Anolis sagrei: one gene and its partner. Each later gene encodes a partner of the first gene's protein in a complex. Links are inferred from orthologs where the notes say so. Each region holds a gene or a part of one and is shown on either strand. Other genes may lie near its edges.

Region 1 (10,870 bases):
GCAGCATTTATTTGAAAGAATCTCAGTGTTATTTACCTCAGAGTTCTGAGCCCTGAGTGTGAATCCAGCACAACTCAGCTTACTTAAAACCTCTTGCCAAACCAGAAGCCAAACATTCCTTTTAAGTGTGGTGGTAGCCAGTGATCACAGAACATTACCTCAGAAAATAGTGTGTTGCTGGCAAAGTCTTAGCAGCCTCCAAACACTAAATTGAATTTGTACAATAATCCTTTACAATTGGTGATACAGTGGTGGGATTACCAAAGGAAATGTTTTCCTGCCAGAAGATTGTTTGAGTTGGCTTTTTAATTAAATTAATAAATCCCCCAATATTTTACAGTGGACAAATGTCAGCATGCTGGAAGAAGCAAAGACCACCAGCACTGAAGAGATGCTCCTCTACCATCAACTTCGCTTGACTGGCCACGTTGTCTGAATGCCCAATCACCATTGCCCAAAGAAGTTAAACTACTTTGAACTCAAGAATGGGAAATTGAATGTTTGTGGACAGGAAAAAAGATTCAAAGATGTGCTTAAAGCCAACTTTAAAAACTGTGGCATAGATACCGAGAACTGGGAAGCCCTGGCCCTTGAGCGCTCTAACTGGAGTCAGTTGTGACCAGCAGTGCTGCAAAATTTGAAGAGGCATGAATGGAGGGTAAAAGGGAGAAACATGCTGAGAGGAAGGCACATCAAGCCAACCTTGACTGGGACCACCTTCCATCTGGACTCCAATTTCCTCATTGCGGGAGAACATGCGAATCAAAACTAGGGCTCCACAGCCACCTACAGATCCACCGCCTAGACACCCATCTGGAAGACAATAATCCTTGAGCTATAACGGATCGCTTAAGTAAGCATTCCCAATGAATTGGTCAAGCCTCTTGAATTAAATAAGATCCTGTTGTGAGTTTGGGGAAAACAGACCTTGCCATTTGGGAGTTATAGTTGCTTTAGCAAATGCAACTAACATGGATTAGAAGGCACGATCATCAAGTTTGCAGATGACACCAAATTGGGAGGGATAGCCAATACTCCAGAGGACAGAAGCAGAATTCAAAATGACCTTAACAGATTTGAGAGATGGGCCAAAAGTAACAAAATGAAGTTCAACAGGGACAAATGCAAGACACTCCACTTAAGCAGAAAAAATGAAATGCAAAGATACAGAATGGGGGATGCGTGGCTCAATAGCAGTATGTGTGAAAAAGATCTTGGATTCCTCGTGGACAGGAAGGTGAACGTGAGCCAACAACGCCATGCAGCAGCTAAAAAAAAGCCAGTGGGATTTTGGCCTGCATAAATGGAAGTATAGTGTCCAGATCCAGGGAAGTCATGCTACCCCCTCTATTCTGTCTTGGTCAGAGCACACCTGGAATATTGTGTCCAATAGGAGGGTGACTAAAATAATCAAAGGTCTGGAGAACAAGCCCTATGAGGATTGGTTTAAAGAGCTGGGCATGTTTAGCATTCAGAAGAGAAGGCTGAGAGGAGGCATGATGAGGACCGTGTATAAAGATGTGAGGGGAAGTCATAGGGAGGAGGGAGCAGGCTTGTTTTCTGCTGCCCTGGGACTAGGACGCAATGGAATAATGACTTCAAACTACAGGAAAGAAGATTCCAGCTGAAGATTAGGAGGAACTTCTTAACTGCGAGAGCGGTTCAGCAGTGGAACTCTCTGCCTCAGAGTGTGGTGGAGGCTCCTTTGGAGGCTTTTAAGCAGAGACTGGCTGGCCATCTGTCGGGGGTGCTTTGAATGTGGTTTTCCTGCTTCTCGGCAGGCGGTTGGACAGGATGGCTCATGAGGGCTCTTCCAACTCTATGACTCTATGACATATAACTATAAATTAAAACCATTGAAATCATACTAAACATGAAAGATAAACATTTGGAGAAATAAAAAATAGAATTAAAACATCTTATTATTAACATTAATATCACATAATCCAGAATCGTGACCTGAAGCATTCCAATTGTCAACGCACATATATCCAGGCAGATAATCCACAATATCTGCTTTGAATTGGGTTCTCTGAGTCCAGACTGCCATATAATCCAGTTCAATGTGAATTTTATATAGCTGTGTGGAAGGGGCCTAAGAAGTGTTTTGGGGAAATTATTTCCCTTCTTCTAATCAAAGTTTGACCAGTCTGTGGCCTGCTTTTTTCTGGGTTATATGGCTTTGTGGAAAGGACTTGGGATTCACACTAGGCAACATGTGGACTGAGGTATTCTCGGAGTTACAGTAACATTTTAAGGTCTGGAAGGGAGAAAAAAAGTTACTTTGTGTATAAACATGCATGGAATTGTGATATAATAGACAGAGCTTATCTACTGCTGTCAAACTATCAGAATCTCTTGTATTGCTGTCAAACCATCAGTATCTCTAAGGACTCTACTACACTGCCATATAAAATCCAGATTACCTCCTTTGAATTGGATTATATAGCAGTGTAGACTCATATAATCCAGTTTAAAGCATGAGTAGATTGTCTGCATTGATATATGGCAGTGAAGAAGGGGCCTAAGAAATAAAAGCATACAAAATATTAAATTCACAGATTATTTTTTAAAAAAAAATCAGATTTAAAAAACAACTTCATTGTAATAAATCCCTACATTATGAAAAAGGCAACAGTGCCCCCTACAGGAGAATATCTCAAACTGGGAAGCTTCAAAAGTTTTTTCACTTCAATTCATTGCCATTGTTTTGCTATCAATCACTGCCTTATAGAATTGAGCCCCCACCCCCACCCCCACCCCACCCCACACACACAAGTGTAACACTCCAATTTACTGTATTTTCTGGCATATAAGACTATTTTTAAACTCAGGAAAATCTTCCTAAAAGTTGGGGAGTCGTCTTATTGCTGGGCGTCGTCATATAGAGTGCGTGCTGAAACTTCTGAGCCAGGCTGGAGAATCTGTAGTCGCCACATATGGTGGGGGGGGGGGGGGGCTCAAAACCGGCCACGGCTGCATCCCTGCCATATGTGGCAACTGTATGAAAATAGCAAGGGCGCCGCCGTACAAGTACAGTAGAAGAAAATCCACTCATTGGGATTCATGGAAATAAGTGACTTAACGCAGTTCCAATGATGAGGTGAGGGGGCATCTCACCGGGAAGGTGTAAGTGTAGGTGTCCGGGACACCCGGGGTATGGAAAAAAGAAACAGAGCTGAGCTGTGCCCAGAAAAACACACCTCTTTTACCTGTCTGGTCCGCCCTTGTATCCTATTACCCTACCTCCTTCTCTGCCTCTCAGATCTCGCTCCTGCAGTGAAGTGGCACAGCCGTGCATGTGTGAGATCTGAGAGGCAGAGAAGGAGGTACGGTAATAGGAAAATAAAATCTGATTTTTAAAATTTTTACAGTGTTCCCTTGCTGTTTCGCAGTTTGCTTTCTGCGGACTCGCTGTTTTGCGGTTAGGGTTTAGAATATTCTAAACTTAAAGCCTAACCGCAAAACAGTGAGTCTGCGGGCTCCAGGGCTGCTGGGGTGAGGTGGGGAAGCTGGCCTCGGTTGGATCGGCCAGGGCCGGCTTCCCCACCTCGCTCCAGCAGCCATGGAGCCCTGTGGAAGTCCAGCGCAGAGCTGCAAAGGCTGCTGGGGCATTTGGCCCTAGCCGATGCAACCAGCGGATTGGCCAGGGCCAGCTTCCCTATTTCGCCCCAGCAGCCTTTGCAGTGCTACCCTGGACCTCCATGGCTGTCAGGGCGAGATGGGGAAGCCGGCGTTGGCCAATCTGCTGGTTGGATTGGCCATGGCCGGCTTCCCCACCAGCCATGGAGCCCTGCGGAGGCCCTGAGCAGCCTGTAAAGGATGCTGGGGTGAGGTGGGGAAGCTGGCCCCGGCCGATCCAGGGGCGAGGCCTGCTGCCAGTTGGCCCGCTGGCCAAGCGGCGAGAGAGTTCCTGCCACTCAGGGGGCTTCTGGGAAGAAGCCTCCTGCAAGCAGCATGGCCAGCAGGGCACCCACCGCCGGAATGGCCCTTGCCCGGTATATTCTAGCTGTCCCCTCCCATGCATTGCTGTGGCCCAGTCTGTGTAAATGTGTCTTGTGTGTGTATATGTATGTGTTTGCATTTATATATGTGGTTTTGTGCATACGGTGTAATGCATTTTTTATGTTTTGGCTGTTTAAGTTTTTTCTACTATGTTTTTCAGTGTTTGCTCACTTGTCGACCTGATAGGTGTATTGTGTCCAAATTTGGTGTCAATTCATCCAGTGTTTTTTGAGTTATGTTAATCCCACAAGCAAACATTACATTTTTATTAAGAGAGAGAGAGAGAGAGCGTCCCTACATCACGGTTTTTCACTTATCGTGGGTGGTCCTGGAATTTAAGGTCCGCAATAAGTGAGGGAACACTGTATTTTGTGTGCGTTGGAAGAGGGGTAGTCTTATATGGTGATTATATCTCAAACTACATTTTAACAGGAAATGTTGGGGGTCGTCTTATATGCCCGGTTGTCTTAAACGTTGGAAAATATGGTACATCCAGAAGCTTTGTTTTGCTTTGTTTGTTGCTTTACAATACTAAAATATGTGGTACCACCTAATTTAGCTGACGTAAAGAGTGACGGATCAAGGCTGAGGGTACATCTGACTTACTTACTTACTTAGGCGATCCTTCGTTGGACGAGTAAGATGGTCTTCCTTGATGACTATTTTTGTGGGTTTGTGGGTGGCCTTGGAGCCCTATTCTTGACCCGCATCTTCTCCCACAGTGAAGGCATTGGTTTCCAGGTGGAAGGTGGTCCCGGTCGGGGTTGGCTTGACGCGCCTTCCTCCTGGCATGTTTCTCTCATTCACCCTCCACTCGTGCCTCCTCGAATTCTGCAGCACTGCTGGTCACAGCTGACCTCCAGCTGGAGCGGTCAAGGGCCAGGGCTTCCCAGTTCTCAGTGTCTATGCCAGAGTTTTTAAGGTTGGCTTTGAGGCCATCTTTAAATCTCTTTTCCTGTCCACCAACATTCTGCTTTCTGTTCTTAAGTTCAGAGTAAAGCAACTGCTTTGGGAGGCAGTGGTCAGGCACCCGGACAACATGGCCGGTCCAGCGGAGTTGATGGCAGAGGACCATCGCTTCAATGCTGGTGGTCTTTGCTTCTTCCAGCACGCTGACGTTTGTCCGCTTGTCTTCCCATGAGATTTGCAGGATTTTCCGGAGGCAGCGCTGATGGAATCATTCCAGGAGTTGCATGTGATGACAGTCCACGTTTCGCAGGCATATAGCAGGGTTGGGAGGACAATAGCTTTATAGAGAAGCACCTTGGTATCCCTACGGATGTCCCGGTCCTCAAACACTCTCTGCTTCATTCGGGAAAATGCTGCACTCGCAGAGCTCAGGCGGTGTTGTATTTCGGTGTCGATGTTGACTTTGGTGGAGAGGTGGCTGCCAGGGTAGGAGAAATGGTCAACATTTTCTAATGTTACACCATTAGGTTGTATCTCTGGCATTGAGGAGGGGATGGCTGGCGACTGCTGGAACAGCACTTTGGTTTTCTCGATGTATGCTTCTGTGAAGGTGTTTAGAGTGGCTTGTAGATCTTCTTCTGAATGCGCATAGACGACGTTGTCATCAGCATACTGATGTTGTTGTAACCTTGGTTTTGGCTTTCAGTCTGCTGAGGTTGAATAGCTTGCCATCTGTCCGATAGATGATTTCCACTCCGGTGGGAAGCTTCCCATTAACAAGGTGAAGTATCATAGCGATGAAGATGGACAATAGAGTTGGGGCAATAACACATCCCTGTGTTATTGCCTCTCCATCCACGAAGAGGGAAACAGGGAAATATCTGAATAACCCTAACCCTATCCCAGGCATGACCAAACTTTGTCCCTCCAGGTATTTTGGACTTCAATTCCCACAATTCCTAACATGCCTGATCTTGAGCATTACCTTATTGCCCGATCTACACTGTTGAAATTAATTAATACAGCTTCACCCCATTGTCACAGTTCAATGGTATAGAATCCTTGGGAGTTCTAGTTTGGTGAAGCAACACTGCAACACGCAGGATTCCCTAGCACTGAGCCATGGCTATTAAAGAGGCGCCAAGTACATTAATTCTATTTACCAAATTCTATTTACAATTCCATTTACCAAAGTAGTGCTTTTTCCAGGACCGAGCGGGAATCGAACTCAGACGCCCAAATGCTATAGTCCAACTCTCAAACCACTACACCACGGTAGCTATACCCCAGCTTCCTTAGACCGGAAGTCAGGTGCAGTCAATCCCTTCAATTTGTCTACTCCTACGTCAGTCTTCAGAGGCTCCTGCTGATGAAACACTCCAAATTTTAGCTGTCTATAATATGCCTGATAGAAACACTTTAAATTTCGTACAAGTTCTTAGTTGCACGGCGAAGTACACTAAGAATAGTTAAGGCGTGGGCGATAATATCGAGAGGTTTATTCTTCTAGACCACCGAGGAGGGAAACGGAGGGGCGCCATTGGAGCAGGCACGAACAAAGACAGAAGTATTGGTCGCCGTGGATGGAAAGGTCCAGCCCGGCGAAGGGTCCTTCCTCGATAGAGTGCGAGTGGCGCATGCGCTCTGAGGTGGTTCTCTTCCAGTCAGCCATGCCGACTGTCAGCGTGAAGCGAGATCTGCTCTTCCAAGCGCTGGGAAGGAGTTACAGTAAGAAGGAAGGGGAAGGAGAGGAGGGCTGTTGGGTGTCTTTGGAGCACTCCTTCCTTAGGCCTGAGGGGTTGCCAAGGAAATGTCATTTGCTGCTTCAATGTCAGGACTTTGAATGGGTGCTTCTACACAGTAGCATTAACGCAGTTTGGAACCGCTTTAACTGCCACGGCTCAATGCTATGGAATCCTGGGAGCTGTAGTTTAGTGCAAGGCCAGCCCTCTTTGGCACAGAAGCCTAAAGGCCTTGTAAAACTACAGCTCCCATATTTTTTTCGTCATGTCAGAAGCAACTTGAGAAACTGCAAGTCGTTTCTGGTTTGCGAGAATTCGCCGTCTGCAAGGATGTTGCCCAGGGGACACCAGGATGTTTTGATCTTTTACCATCCTTGTGGGAGGCTTCTCTCATGTGCCCGCATAAGGAGCTGGAGCTGACAGAGGGAGCTCACCCGCGCTCTCCCCTATGGGTCTTCAGTCCTGCTGGCACAGGGGTTTAACCCTCTGCGCCACAGCTCCCATGATTCCATGGCAATCTGCACTCGTTCTATAGTATTGATGCACTTCATGGCAGTGTTTCCTAAATCTTGCTATTCTGGACTTCAACTTCCCTCTACGTATCTCCCTCTACGTGTCTCCGTCTACGCGCCACCTCGTAGTTTAAGATCCACTGGGGAGGCCCTGCTCTCGGTCCCACCAGCCTCGCAAACATGACCGGTGGGGATGAGGGACAGGGCCTTCTCGGTGGTGACTCTGCCTCTTGTGGAATTCGCTCCCCAGCAAGATTAGATCGCCGTCCTCCCTCCTTTCCTTTAGGAAAAAACTGAAATCATGGTTTTGGAACCAGGCCTTTGGCTAGCAGGCACTTTGGACACTGAATTGGACCATATGACGATCGTTATGATAATGGAAATGGCTACTATGAATGATTAATTATTGTTATTGTTTTAATGTATTGGGTATTTATGGTTTCTATATTATTGTATATTGTGTTATTGTGGCATCTAATTGCTGCCTGTGTTAGCCACTCTGAGTCCCCCCTCCGGGGTTGAGAAGGGTAAGGTAGAAATTCTGTAAACAAATAAATAAACTCACTACCTCTGAGGATTCTTGCCATAGATGCAAGTGAAACGTCAGGAGAAAATGCCTCTAGAACATGGCCATATAGCTCGGAAAACCTACAACAACCCAATAAATAAACTCCCTGAATTCCTAACAGTTGGCCAAGTTGACTAAAGCTTCTGGGAGCTGAAGTCCAGAATATCAGGAAGGCCAATGAGATGGAGAAATCACAATTTGATGTGTCCTAGATGTTGTCTAAAAGTGTTTCAGAAGCCTTAAATGACTTTAGTTCAGGCATGGGCAAACTTCAGCCGTTGGGGTGTTTTGGACTTCAACTCCCACAATTCCTAACAGCCTACCGGGTGTTAGGAATTGTGGGAGTTGAAGTCCAAAACACCCCAACGGCTGAAGTTTGCCCATGCCTACTTTAGTTCTTCAAGCCCTTTGCGAAAGCCCTTTTCTGTTTCTCATTTTTTTCCATGTAGGTGGAATGTTGCTCTGTTGTTGAAAAGAGGCTTTGGGGAGAATGGCAGGAGTATGTTTTGATCCTGCAGATGCATGTACAAATTGGAAAGGGAAAGTAACACTGGGCACAGAAAATATGTGATGTTTGTGCCAGTGAAGGGGCTGATAAGGAAAGCAAGAAGACCACACATGAGGTTGCTGTCAGTTTTCCGGGCTGTATGGCCATGTTCCTGAAGCTTTCTCTCCTAACATTTCGCCCACATCTATGGCAGGCATCCTCAGAGGTTGTGAGATCTGTTGGAAACTAGGCAATTGAGGTTTATATATCTGTGGAATTTCCAAGGTGGCAAATTGCAACATTCACACTTGCCTCAAGCAGACAAGAGTTCTTTCTCCCACCTCGGTCATTCCACAGATATATTAACTTCACTTGCATAGTTTTCAACAGACCTCACAACAGACCTGACATAGCTGTGGGCAAATCGTCAGGAAAGAATGCTTCTGGAACATGGTCATACAGCCTGGAAAACTCACAGCAACCCTGTGATTCCGGCCATGAAAGCCTTCGACAAATCATTCCACACATAAGGGTTTGTTTATATGAGAAAATTCTCTTCTCAGTTGACAATATCGTATGTTATATTGTCATTCTGGAAAGAGCACTGCATGTGTGAAGAACAAGTGATGTTAATATCATAGTCATCTGGACACTGAATCCTAGAATCAGTGAATTGGAAGAGACATCAAGAGGCATCCAGTCCAACTCCCTGCCATGCAGGAAAAGCACAATCAAAGCAACCCCCCCCCCCCCCCCCCGAGAGATGGCCATCCAGACTCTGTGTAAAGGGATTCAAGGAAGGAGCTTCCACCACACTCTGAGGCAAGAGAGTTACACGGTTGTACAGATCTTACAGTCAGAATATCAGAATATCTGCTTTGAACTGGGTTGTCAGGGTCCACACTGCCAGATATTCCAGTTCAAAGCAGAAAATGTGGGGTTTTATTCAGCTGTCCTAGGGCTTTTCTACACAGCTATATAACCTGGAATATCAAGACAGAAAATCCCACAATACCTCCTTTGAACTGGATTAGCTGAGTCCACACTGACATATATTCTAGTTCATAGCAGAAAATGTGGGACTTTATTCAGCTGTGTGAAAGGGGCTGCAGGGCCCTTCCACACAGCCCTATATCCCAGAATATTAAGACAGAAAATCCCACAATATCTGCTTTGAACCGGGTTATATGTGTCCACACACAGATAATATGGGATTTTCTGCCTTGATATTCTGGGATATAGGGCTGTGTGGAAGGGCCCTCTGTCTCCAGGGCAGCAGAACCTGTCTTTTCTGCACACCATTAGGACACCATTGTCAGTACTGCTGGAGTAAACCCAAATTGTATATCAAGACAGAATAATACTCTTTTATTTATTTTTTTAAAAGAGGACTTGCTGAATAGTTTTATGTATATTGGAACTAATTATAGGATGAAAAATCTGATGTACTATATTGTGATTTAATTTCAGCGGATGAAGAATTTGATGAGCTGTGCTTTGAATTTGGTTTAGAACTTGATGAGATTGTAAGTAATTGCTTTTATTTTTATATAGGAATATATAAACGAATGCTGTAGTACTTAGGAAACTGCCATGAGAGAGTAAAAATCCAGTGTAAGCTTTTATGGTTTTTAACCCGTTTCACCAGTTGTGAGACCTGTAAAAAAAAAGCCATGTAAACTAAATTAGATTGTACATGGTGCAATCAAATTCCTCTCCTTCTAAAACCATTATTACCCTATCCTGTAAATAGCTTGGCCTTATAATGAAGTCTCAGAACATTTTATAGTCTGGATGTTTTGTCTTAAATTCTCAATACCCTGCGAATAGGATAGCAGGAAGTAAACAATGCATCTTGTATCTGTAGCATACCTGTAAAATATTATAATAATGTTGATTTACCGAATGTATTTTAACTTGTTTATGGTGAGTTAGTTGCAATAAGAAGAGTCTCCAAATTGTGGGATTTTAAAACACTCAGAAACCATTGGCAACCAATCAATTAAGTTTATATTATGTTGTCTGTTCTGTACCCCATCAGGTTGTTGCTACTGGAACTGGTATAATTGGAGCAGTGTTTCTCAAACTCTGTCCAAAACATCTGGAGGAGCACAGTTTGAGAAACTTTGAACTGGAGGAAGTAATTGCTATCATTATGTACTATTAAGTACATATTGTTAACCATGGCATCAGTTATCTTTGAGGTAGCTTGTAGCAAGAGAAAGGTTTCAGCTTGATGCAAACTAGGATGTGTTTTCTTTATCACAGGCTAAAATCATGTGTGCAGTTATTAGAAGATACTTGATTGAATTTAGGTGACATTTTTGCTAGTCATGTTTAGGATTATCAAACATGATGATTTGAGCTGATTCGGACTAGGTTGATTCTGATTTGTATAAGTTTTTAATTTGTAAAAAGCTATGTTTCAAATATTTCTGTAACTGTTAATCTGTGTATGAGAGCATATTAAACTCATTGTATTTTCCAATTGACACACATTTATTGTACAAGGGTTTTGAGATGTATTTCCTGATTTTTTTTGTTCATTTCAGACTTCTGAGAAGGACATAATAAGTAAAGAGAAAGGTGATGGAAAAGCAGAGGGTGCATCAGACGTCATTCTTTATAAAATTGATGTTCCTGCTAA
Region 2 (10,217 bases), on another chromosome or scaffold:
GGATGGGATCCTTGAAGTGATTGGATTGACCTTGAAGGAGCTGGGGGTGGTGACGGCCGACAGGGAGACCTGGCGTGGAATGGTCCATGAGGTCACGAAGAGTCGGAAATAACTGAACGAATGAACAACAACAAACAAGCGGGCTAGGCATCTGGGAAATACAGGCCCAAACACCTGGAGGGCCACATGTTGAAGAAGGCTGGACTAGAGGTTCTGTTGTTATATCACCCACCCTACTGCTCAACAGTATCTCTGCCTGGGCTACCTGGGATGTTGGAATCTCCAGAGCTCGTAATGCTGGATCTTTAACATCCATACTTCTCTTGTTGCGACTGTTCTATTGGCAATCAATCCATTTCTGGGCACAATTCAAAATTTCATGTTTTTGATACACACAGCCCTAGACAGCTTACTAGGCCCAAGTTATCTAAAAAGATCATCTGAAAAAGATTGTATCTCTTTCTAAAATAGTAGGTCAAAACATTTTTATGCTTTCAGGCTTTTACAAACCCACTAGGATTGGCTTTTAATGCTATGCGGGTGCAGATTTTAAGGGTTTTTTTAAAGTTTCTATATAGCTGTTTTATTGCCTTGTAAAATGTTTTGACATGCATTGTTTTTACAGTCATAATTTTACTCTAACTCAACCAGAATAATCAGAAAACAGTGAGATATAAATAATTTTTATTAAACACAGTAGTAGTAATACAGAGATAGTGCTGCATTCAACAGTAATGTTGTTAAGGAAACTATGTAACCACTTTGAACACAAGGCAAGATACTGTCCTGCAGAAACAAATCCACAAGGTAGATAGAGAGCTAGAGTGACCTACCACCCGGAAGATCCGAGGTCCACCTTCTGAGTCCTTGTCTAGTTTGATCCATTTATTGGACATTGCTTTGCTGAATCCCACTTTTCCACTTGGGAGCTTCTACAGAGAAACAAAGGAAACATGAGCCCACAGGTGCAATGTCAAATGCTAACCTGCCCCCCATCACAAGCCCTAGCCAATATAAATAATGAAGAAACATAGTGCTCTTTCTGCTTCAAGTACATCTGGAGGAGAAGAAATTTGAACTGAGACCTCCATCAAATATTCAAACGGGGACAGATAAGGAAAGTCTACTCATTCTTCACTTACACTCTAGTTTAATCAGTATATGAGAAAAAAATATTACCATCAGCTCACTCTGGACCAGACCCTCAGAAGGGATGCTGTTAAAGACTCTAACTTCATGGCTTCCTTTTTGTACAATTTCTTGGCCCTCAGGTGTCAGCTCCCACTTCTTGGATGTACGCTGTTCTGCCTCAATCACCTAAACAGAAAATGAGAACATCTTCAAGGGTGGAAATCACCTAAATGAAATGGGATGGGGCTGAAAGTAGCAGCAGGGAGGGAGAAAAAAGATTTGAAAGAAAAAAAAGCAGTAACTGTGGTCCTAACCAGGAGCCAGCCCACAAACATACAGCCTCTCCCTTCCCTTTTCATCTGAAACAGCATCTGAAACACCATGAAAGCATCATATTTCCCACACAAAACAAGTTTATCCTGAGAAGAGAAGCCTGTGTCTGGATCAACCACTCCCATCTGACCTAGAGGTTCACATGGTCAATTGTTTTTGTACACTGGTGTGTGTGTGTGCATATATGTCAGGGAAAACATCATTCTGGCTTTATTCTAGCCCAACCTTCTCTCTCATAGGCTAGTTTTCTAAACTTCAGGGACATCTATTCACATTCCAACACATGAACCCTCACCTTCACTCTGTCGTCCTCAAGCTCACTGTGTGCAGGGAGATATGATGAAGCTATGGAAGCCATGACTGATTGATAACATTTCTTACCATTATTCCTTTAGAAGACATCTTTACTGGGATATCTCCTGAGATAACTGATTTCAAGTCAGAACAGGACTGACCTTGCACTAAAACATCACAGTGCAGTGGAAGTGCATTTCTGTCAACACTGAATATAATCCTTCTCCTTCTAAGGTTGGCTCTGCATCTCGTGGTGCCAGAGCGCAATCTGTTCAGCGCCTTCCAAGTCGCCCAGTTTTCTGTGTGCCCAGGGGGGAGTCTCTCATTTGGTATCAGCCATTGATTGAGGTTCTGGGTTTTAGCCTGCCACTTTTGGACTCCTGCTTGCTGAGGTGTTCCAGCGAGTGTCTCTGTAGATCTTAGAAAACTATTTCTTGATTTAAATTGTTGGCATTCTGGCTGATACCCAAACAAGGAGTGGGAAGGAGATGTCACTGCCTTAGTCCTTTCATTATTGGTTGCTACTCCCCTGTGGATGGCAGGTTGTGCGATACCAGCTAAACCAGGGTCCTCAAAACTAAGGTTCGGGGGCCGGATACGGCCCTCGAAGGTCATTTACCCAGCCCTTGCTCAGGGTCAACCTAAGTCTGAAATGACTTAAAAGCACACAACAACAACAACCCTATTTCATCAGCCAAAAGTAGGCCCACACTTCCCACTGAAATACTAATAAGTTTATATTTGTTAAAGTTGTTCTTCATTTTAATTATTGTATTGTTTTTGAGTGTTTTTTGCACTACCAATTAGATATGTGCAGTATGCATAGGAATTAATTCATGTTTTTTTTCAAATTATAATCCAGCCCTCCCAACAGTTTGAGGGACTGTGACCTGGCCCTCTGCTTAAAAAGTTTGAAGACCCCTGGGTTAAACAGTGTAATTTCTCCAGTGGTGTAGGGCGCAGACACCCCGTGATAATGCAGCATGTCTCATTAAGAGCCACATCCATTGTTTTAGCGTGGTGAGATGTGTTCCACACTGGGCATGCGTACTCAGCAGCAGAGTAGCATAGTGCAAGGGTGGATGTCTTCACTGTATCTGGTTGTGATCCCCAGGTTGTGCCAGTCAGCTTTCGTATGATATTGTTTCTAGCGCCTACTTTTTGCTTGATATTCAGGCAGTGCTTCTTGTAAGTCAGAGCACAGTCCAGAGTGACTTCCTGGTATTTGGGTGTGCTGCAATGCTCCAGTGGGATTCCTTCTCAGGTAATCCTCAGAGCTCAGGATGCTAATAATAATAATAATAAAAAAACTTTATTTGTACCCCGCTACCATCTCCCCAAGGGACTCGGTGCAGCTTACATGAGGCCAAGCCCACAATATCAATAAACAAAACATCAATAAAACAATCAATGCAATACAATTCAAATAAATCACATAAACAAAAAATAGGCAATAAACAATCAACAGTAACGTACAAGCATTTAAAACCAATGGCCGGGCCAAATGTAATAGATTAAAATTAAAAAATAATGCTGACGTGAACAAGGTAGGATATAACTGGGATAGGATTTTCAGAGAGAAATGAGGGAATGCAGTGGTAAAGTGCATTTTGAGGGCATATTGCTGAGAGTTTTCCTTATTCTGTGAAGGCACAATGGAACAACCACCTTTTCAGATTCCTCCTAAAGACTGCCAGAATTGGGGCATGTCTGATGTTCCTGGGAAGTGAGTTCCAGAGTTGGGGGGGGGGGGGCACCGAAAAGGCCCTCTCTGTTCTGCAGTTCTGCTTGCCTGAAGCTGTTCTGCTTGCCTGTTCTTAAAATGAAAAGCACATCTCTGTGTTTTAGATGGGTTACAAATCAGCTGGTTTTCCCTGTAATAGGCTGTAAGAGCACCTAGAGCAGTGTTTCTCAACCTGGGGGTCGGGAACCCTGAGGGGGTCGTGAAGGGGTGTCAGAGGGGTCACCAAAGACCATCAGAAAACACAGTATTTTCTGTTGGTCATGGGGGTTCTGTGTGGGAAGTTTGGCCCAATTCTCTCATTGGTGGGGTTCAGAATGCTCCTTGATTGTAGGTGAACTATAAATCCCAGTATCTACAACTCCCAAATGTCAAAGTCTATTTTTCCTAAACCCCATCAGTGTTAACATTTGGGCATACTGAGTATCCGTACCAAGTTTGGTCCAGATCCATCATTGTTTGAGCCCACAGTGCTCTCTGGATGTAGGCAAACTACAACTCCCAAACTCAAGGTCAATGCCCACCAAACCTTCCAGTATTTTTTGTTGATCATGGGAGTTCTCCGTGCCAACTTTGGTCCAATTCCATTGTTGGTGGGGTTCGGAATGCTCTTTGTTTACATGTTAACTATAAATTCCAGCAATTACAACTCCTAAATGATCGAATCAATTTCCCCGCCAACCCCACTAGTATTCAGATTTGGGCATACCGGGTATTTGTGCCAAATTTGCTCTAGTGACTGAAAATACATCCTGCAGATCATTATTTACATGGCGATTCATAATGTTAGGGTTATGGTTGGGGGTCACCACAACATGAGTAACTGTATTAAGGGGTCGCGGCATTAGGTTGAGAAACACTGACCTAGAGCTTCAGAGAGCTTCTGTTCAACCATCTCATAGCTCCCTGCTTGAGCGGTAATGGCACGATCATCAGTATAGATGAAACTCTGTCCCTTCTGGCAGTGGCTGGTCATTTGTGTAAATGTTGAACAGCCAATGAAACAACAGAAGAGGCGAGGTCAGCTCTTCAGGTGGTGGATCCCCTCAAGAGAGTGGCATCTCGAGGGGGCGTGGCCATGAGCAAGCCCCTCCCCCTCGGCCCTCTTACCTCGCCAAGCGACTGCAGGCTCTTCACCGCCCCGACAAGCACTTGGTGCTCCAAACCGAGGGCCGCGGCCGCCTCCAGGCTACAAATCCCGGCCTCGCCGTGAGCCCCCGCCGCCTCAAGCCGTCGTAAAAGCAGCTCCGCCGCTGACCCAGAGCTGGCAGCCGCCTCCCCCATGGTGGGAGACATCTTCCCGGCGCCTCCTGACAGGAAAGCGGAAGTGAGGACTAAGGGCTTCCGGCGCATAGAGTGCTTCCTGTGATAGAGCGTCCCTGGCGGAAACGGCTTCCTGTCGCGTCAAGTCGTCTTAGAAGCGGAGGGCTTGGGAGGCGGGAGGGCCGGAAGGGAGGAAAGCCGGCTGGATATATCTAGTGAACTTCCGGTTCCTCTCATACAGACCGAGGGCGCCATGTGCGTAGCAAAAGTCGACTAAAGTGCATCACATTGTCTCGTAAACATACCAGACAAGTCGGTCAGTGTTAGCATTGTCCAGAATTTACCTCAGGGTTGTAAATATAACGACCTGTTTAAGCTTTTCTCAGGCCCCTTCTACACTGCTCTTTAATAATCCAGATTATTATATATAGTTTTTCCGGTTTTTTGTATTTTTTCTTTTTCTCGTTATATTCTGACAATCTTCAAAACTTCTCTTCCTTTTCCTCTTTTTTTATATCTTATTTTCCTACTTTACTATCATACTAGCCGTCCCTTGCCACGTGTTGCTGTGGCCCAGTCTGGTGATCTGGAAAATAAAGTAATGAGAAAGTGTTGGTTTCTAATATATGTAATGTCTTTATGCTTGTGGGAAAACAGTATTTCTTGTGGTTTCTTTGTCAGTGTTGATGTGGAGAGTGTCTGGTTTGCCCACTCTGCAACATGCAACATATCATCGTCCTTCTCTACTAGTCCCTTTCAAATCTATGATACTCTATGTATGTGTGTGAATCATATCTATATCTATATAATCATATCTATATCACGGAGCCCCCGATGGTGCAGTGGGTTAAACCCCTGTGTCGGCAGGACTGAAGACTGACAGGTCGCAGGTTCGAATCCGGGGAGAGGCGGATGAGCTCCCTCTATCAGCTCCAGCTCCTCATGCGGGGACATGAGAGAAGCCTCCCACAAGGATGATAAAACATCAAAATCATCCAGGCGTCCCCTGGGCAACGTCCTTGCAGACAGCCAATTCTCTCACATCAGAAGCAACTTGCAGTTTCTCAAGTTGCTCCTGACACGACAAAAAAAATAAATAGATGCTGTCCTTGCAGACGGCCAATTCTCTCACAACAGGACACTCCTGACACACACACACAAAAAATCTATATCTTTGGCTGGATGGCTCTTTGTCAGGAGGGCTTTGATTAAGTTTTCTTGCCCTGGTGAAGGGAGTTGGACTGGGTGGCCTTAAGTATGGGGTTTCTGTGTGGGAAGTTTGGCCAAATTCTTTCGTTGGGGTTCAGCATGCTCTTTGATTGTAGGTGAACTAAAAAACCCAGCAACTACAACTCCCAAATGACAAAATTTTAAAAAATTGAGTGAATGACATACATTAGGTTGTTAAGTGTATGCTGTCCAAATTTGGTGTCACTTGGCTCACTGGTTTTTGAGTTCTGTTAATACCACAAACAAACATTACATTTTTATTTATATAGATTTTTGTTCTCCCACTTTACCTGTAGAACGAAAATACCTTCCCCTTTCCCCCCCTCATCTCTAATAAAATATATATTTTGAAAAATCTAGATTATTTGCTTTGAACTGAATTATATGGCAGTGTAGACTCATATCCAGTTCAAAGCAGATAATCTGGATTATCCAGTAGATAGTACAGATTATCTGCTTTGATCATCAGTGTAGAAGGGTCCATAGTCATCTCTGAGTTTCAGGCACCCTGATTTCGTAAAATAGATTTATTTCCAAGGGGCCGGAGGTTTAGCACAGCTGGTAAATCGTCAGCAATTGTAAGATCTATCAACCAGAAAGGTTCCAAGTTCGAACCCCGGGTTTGGCATGAGCTGCCAAATGACACCCTAGCTCATTGTTTACCTAAGCAATTCGAAAACAGCTTTAGCTGTAATTAGAGAAATTAGGTACCGCTAAAAAATGAAGGAGGAAGTCCTGACAGCTCTTCATCATAGAGTAGTGGTTCTCAACCTGTGGGTCCCCAGATGTTTTGGCCTTCAACTCCCAGAAATCATAACAGCTGGTAAACTGGCTGGGATTTCTGAGGGTTGTAGGCCAAAACACTTGGGGACCCACAGGTTGAGAACCACTGTCATAGAGCAACAGCACCCCCTGGATTCAAGCCCAACTTTCCATGGCATCAAAAAAAATAACAACCAGATCAAACTTTATATTCCTCCCTGTCCCCCCTGGAGATTCAGGGCGACTCACATAAAAAGGCAAATATCCAATGCCTTGTAATAAGTAAGTAATGCAATCTAAACAAAATACAGTGTAAATAGTATAAAACAAATAGTTAGAAAAGCAATAACAACCATCCTATGAAACACATTTAAACAACATTAGTAAAGGGGAAATTTAGATCATCCCAAACACAGCCATATAACCCAGAATTAGCAAGCCTCGCAGTTGCTAATTTGTTATCAGTAAATGATTGTATACTTATTTTATATACCTGGGGTCTCCTAAAAATTTCTCAGGGAGAAAGGGGTCTTCAGTTTAAAACCCTGGTCTAGGTTAGGTTAGGTTACAGTGTCACCTACTAAACGATGCTGAGAAAGGTCCTTATAACATTTCTGATTTAACCATTTCTTTTCTCAGTTTCATGGTCCTTCCACACAGCCCTATATCCCAGAATATCAAAGCAGAAAATCCCACATTATCTGAGTGTGGACTTAGATAACCCAGGTCAAAGCAGATATTGTGGGATTTTCTGCCTTAATATTCTGGGATATGAGGCTGTGTGGAAAGGCCCTCAGCTTGCTAGTACAATTTCAAATACTGTTTTCTTAAACAAAATAACAGATTAGATTGATCGGAGTTAGGTAAATGTAAATTAAGTGGGCATATGAAATGAATTAGATAGTATTAATAGTAGTAGTTCCCCATTTTCTCTCTTGATCAAAACTCGAAGTAGCTCACAATCTTTAAAAAAAACCCAATATAAACCTATAAAATATAAATATTAAAATAAATTCAAGCATACAATTATTAAAACAAGTTAGTTAAAATTGCATTAAACAAGCAAGTCAAACTTAAAAACAATTGCAACACAATACATCACCCACTGGCTTGGTCTTAAAACCTCTGCTGACCTGCACATAAACACTTCCTTTTTCTCTTTATTATAGCTAATTAATTACGGCTACTGTCCAACCAGAATATTTTATTGGCAAATTGTCAGAAATTGAGAGTGTAAAATCATAGACTAAGTAGTATGTCTTGGTGCCAGCATAAATGCATGTACAATATCCAGCATCGTAGGAGGTGGCATTTTGCTCTGTAAATGTCAAAATAGCCATCTTGTTCCGTTCCATAATGACAGAGGCAAAAAGGTCACATTTCTTGAGTATCGGCCTTTCCATTTTACAGCTGTTGCCATGCTGATTGGTCAGCAAGCTCAGAACAGCGTCTTATCTCAGTCTTTCCTTCAAGCGACTGCCTGTTGCATTTCCCAGGCCACTTCCACTGTAAGTAAACAGGAAATCAGATCATATTACGTAATTATAGCACAGATGTGAAAACTTTGTTCCCCTGACAATCAAGGTCATCCATTCTGCCAGTTATTTTAAAACAACATCTGCCAGCAAATAAATGTGCCTTTTCTTCCTCTCTAAAATTGAAAATGACAGAGTCAATATTATCACTGTGCTATGACTCCTCGTGTAATTCCCATTAGATATGTTATGTTATGTTTCTTTGTATGTCTAGAAAAAAAAATGCATTTCTCCAAAGGGCCTCTGGGCTGCTTTAGTGTTATTTTTGGAGTGCCTTTACATATTTTAGGGCCTTCAGACAGTTAAATGAAAGAGAAAAGGTCCTACTTCCCCATTAAAAGGGGGTGGGCGGAGTGAGAAGATAGGAAGGCTAAATGAACACTGGACCAAATAAGAAACCAGTAAGAATGAGTAGTGGGCATAAGAGACATTGGAGTGCTAAGGCAGGACAAGATGCGTACTTCTACTAGTGAATAACTTGTATAGTAGCCTTGTCCAAGCCCAGTAGTTGCCATCTCTATAGCTAGCCAATGTATCTGAAGCATCCCAGATTTGGAAAACCGTTTGTAGAATGTTAGGATGCCCTTGCAGCAGTGGAGTTCCAACCATTGGTTTTTTAAAAAAAAAAAAACCCTCTCAAGATCCCACCATTCTGGATAGTTATCAACCAGTCTTTAACATTGAATTTGGGCAAGATTTTGAGTATGTGGTGACTTCCCAGCTCAAGGGGGCTTCTGGATAAAGTTGATTATCTAGATCAGTTTCAAACTATTCATATTTTCACTCAAAGTTAACCCTTGCCAAGTACTGTGGGCTTGCATCCAGATTAAGTATATATCAGGAGCACCTGGTGGCCCAGTGGGTTAAACCACTGACCTGAGGTCACAGGTTCAAATCTGAGGAACAGGGTGAGCTCTTGCTCTTAACCCCAGCTTCTGCCAACCTAGTAGTTCGAAAACATGCAAATATGAGCAGATCAATAGGTACCATTCTGGCAGGAAGGTAACGGCACTCCATGCAGTGTTGCCGGCCACATGACCTTGGAGGTGTCTACGGAAAATGCCGGCTCTTTGGCTTAGAAATGGAGATGAACCCCACCCCCCAGAGTCGGACACAACTGGACTTAATGTCAGGGGAAAACCTTTACCCTGACAAACCTTTACCTAAGTACAGGGTGAGGCAGCATAACTTCCTTTTTTCAAAACTTAATAAAACCCATTGTATGAATCAGAAAAAATTATAATGTAGGCGCATACCTAAAGTTTTCTTTTACGTAGTTTTGAAGATCAAATTAGGTAGGAGACGTCCCCCAGTCTCTATTCTCCATACACTGAGTAAACCAATTTCTGGCATTTGTCATGACTCTTGCCAGAATAGCAAGCGTTATGTTGGAAATTTCTTCCTGGATGTTGGTCTTCAAATCTTGTACGGTCCTTGGATGGTTTACATAAACACGGGATTTCAAAAAGCCCCATAGGAAAAAAATCACAAGGGGCCAAATCTGGAGAGCGGGCCGGCCACTCCAAATCCGCTCGAAAAGTAGGCCTCAACAGCAACGCATGATGGTGACTGAACTCAAAGTAGCTTTATACTCCCGCCTCTCGAACAAGACCACTAACGCTCTGCTACATCTTCAACTGACTGAATGAAGTTATGCTGCCTCACCCTATATATCTCTGAATATTCTTTGCCTAAGAAAACCCTATGAAATTCATGAAGTCACCATAAATCAACAGGTAACTTGAAGGTGTGCATACACAAAGGAATCTAGCATAACATAATTTTATTGAAACACACATACTTTCAGAGATGATAGTCTATTTCAGCAAGTAATAAAGCAAGCAGTGTGAGAATCTAAGAACTGTAAATTAGTATCAGTCATGAAGGATACATGAGTGATACATTTCTTATGCAAACATAGTAAATGT

The links.
Region 2: the proteins of FARSB (region 1) and FARSA are in contact, whole or in part, in a crystal structure (PDB 3L4G), measured with the Homo sapiens proteins. The link is inferred for Anolis sagrei from reciprocal best matches to the Homo sapiens genes FARSB and FARSA. Residues at the interface, in NP_005678.3 of Homo sapiens: Glu26, Phe29, Gly32, Leu33, Pro68, Ala69, Asn70, Ile150, Arg152, Asp259, Thr261, Lys262, Arg305, Lys316, Lys317, Val318, Gly319, Ile359, His360, Cys362, Asp363, Glu366, Ala369, Ile370, Tyr374, Asn375, Ile377, Gln378, Met379, Thr380; in NP_004452.1 of Homo sapiens: Ser221, Gly222, His223, Leu224, His225, Leu227, Leu228, Arg231, Ser232, Arg235, Leu239, Gly242, Phe243, Thr244, Glu245, Pro247, Asp249, Asn250, Phe251, Ile252, Glu253, Ser254, Phe263, Gln266, Gln267, Phe277, Phe278, Leu279, Arg280, Asp281.

Annotation. Positions count from the first base shown.
Region 1 is NC_090023.1:233,509,579-233,520,448, reverse strand, and holds the start of FARSB (phenylalanine--tRNA ligase beta subunit), read left to right. Parts: upstream 1-6,533; 5' UTR 6,534-6,551; coding exon 6,552-6,642; intron 6,643-9,693; coding exon 9,694-9,749; intron 9,750-10,775; coding exon 10,776-10,870.
Region 2 is NC_090022.1:162,416,580-162,426,796, forward strand, and holds the start of FARSA (phenylalanine--tRNA ligase alpha subunit), read right to left. Parts: upstream 4,868-10,217; 5' UTR 4,853-4,867; coding exon 4,610-4,852; intron 1,318-4,609; coding exon 1,180-1,317; intron 933-1,179; coding exon 834-932; intron 1-833.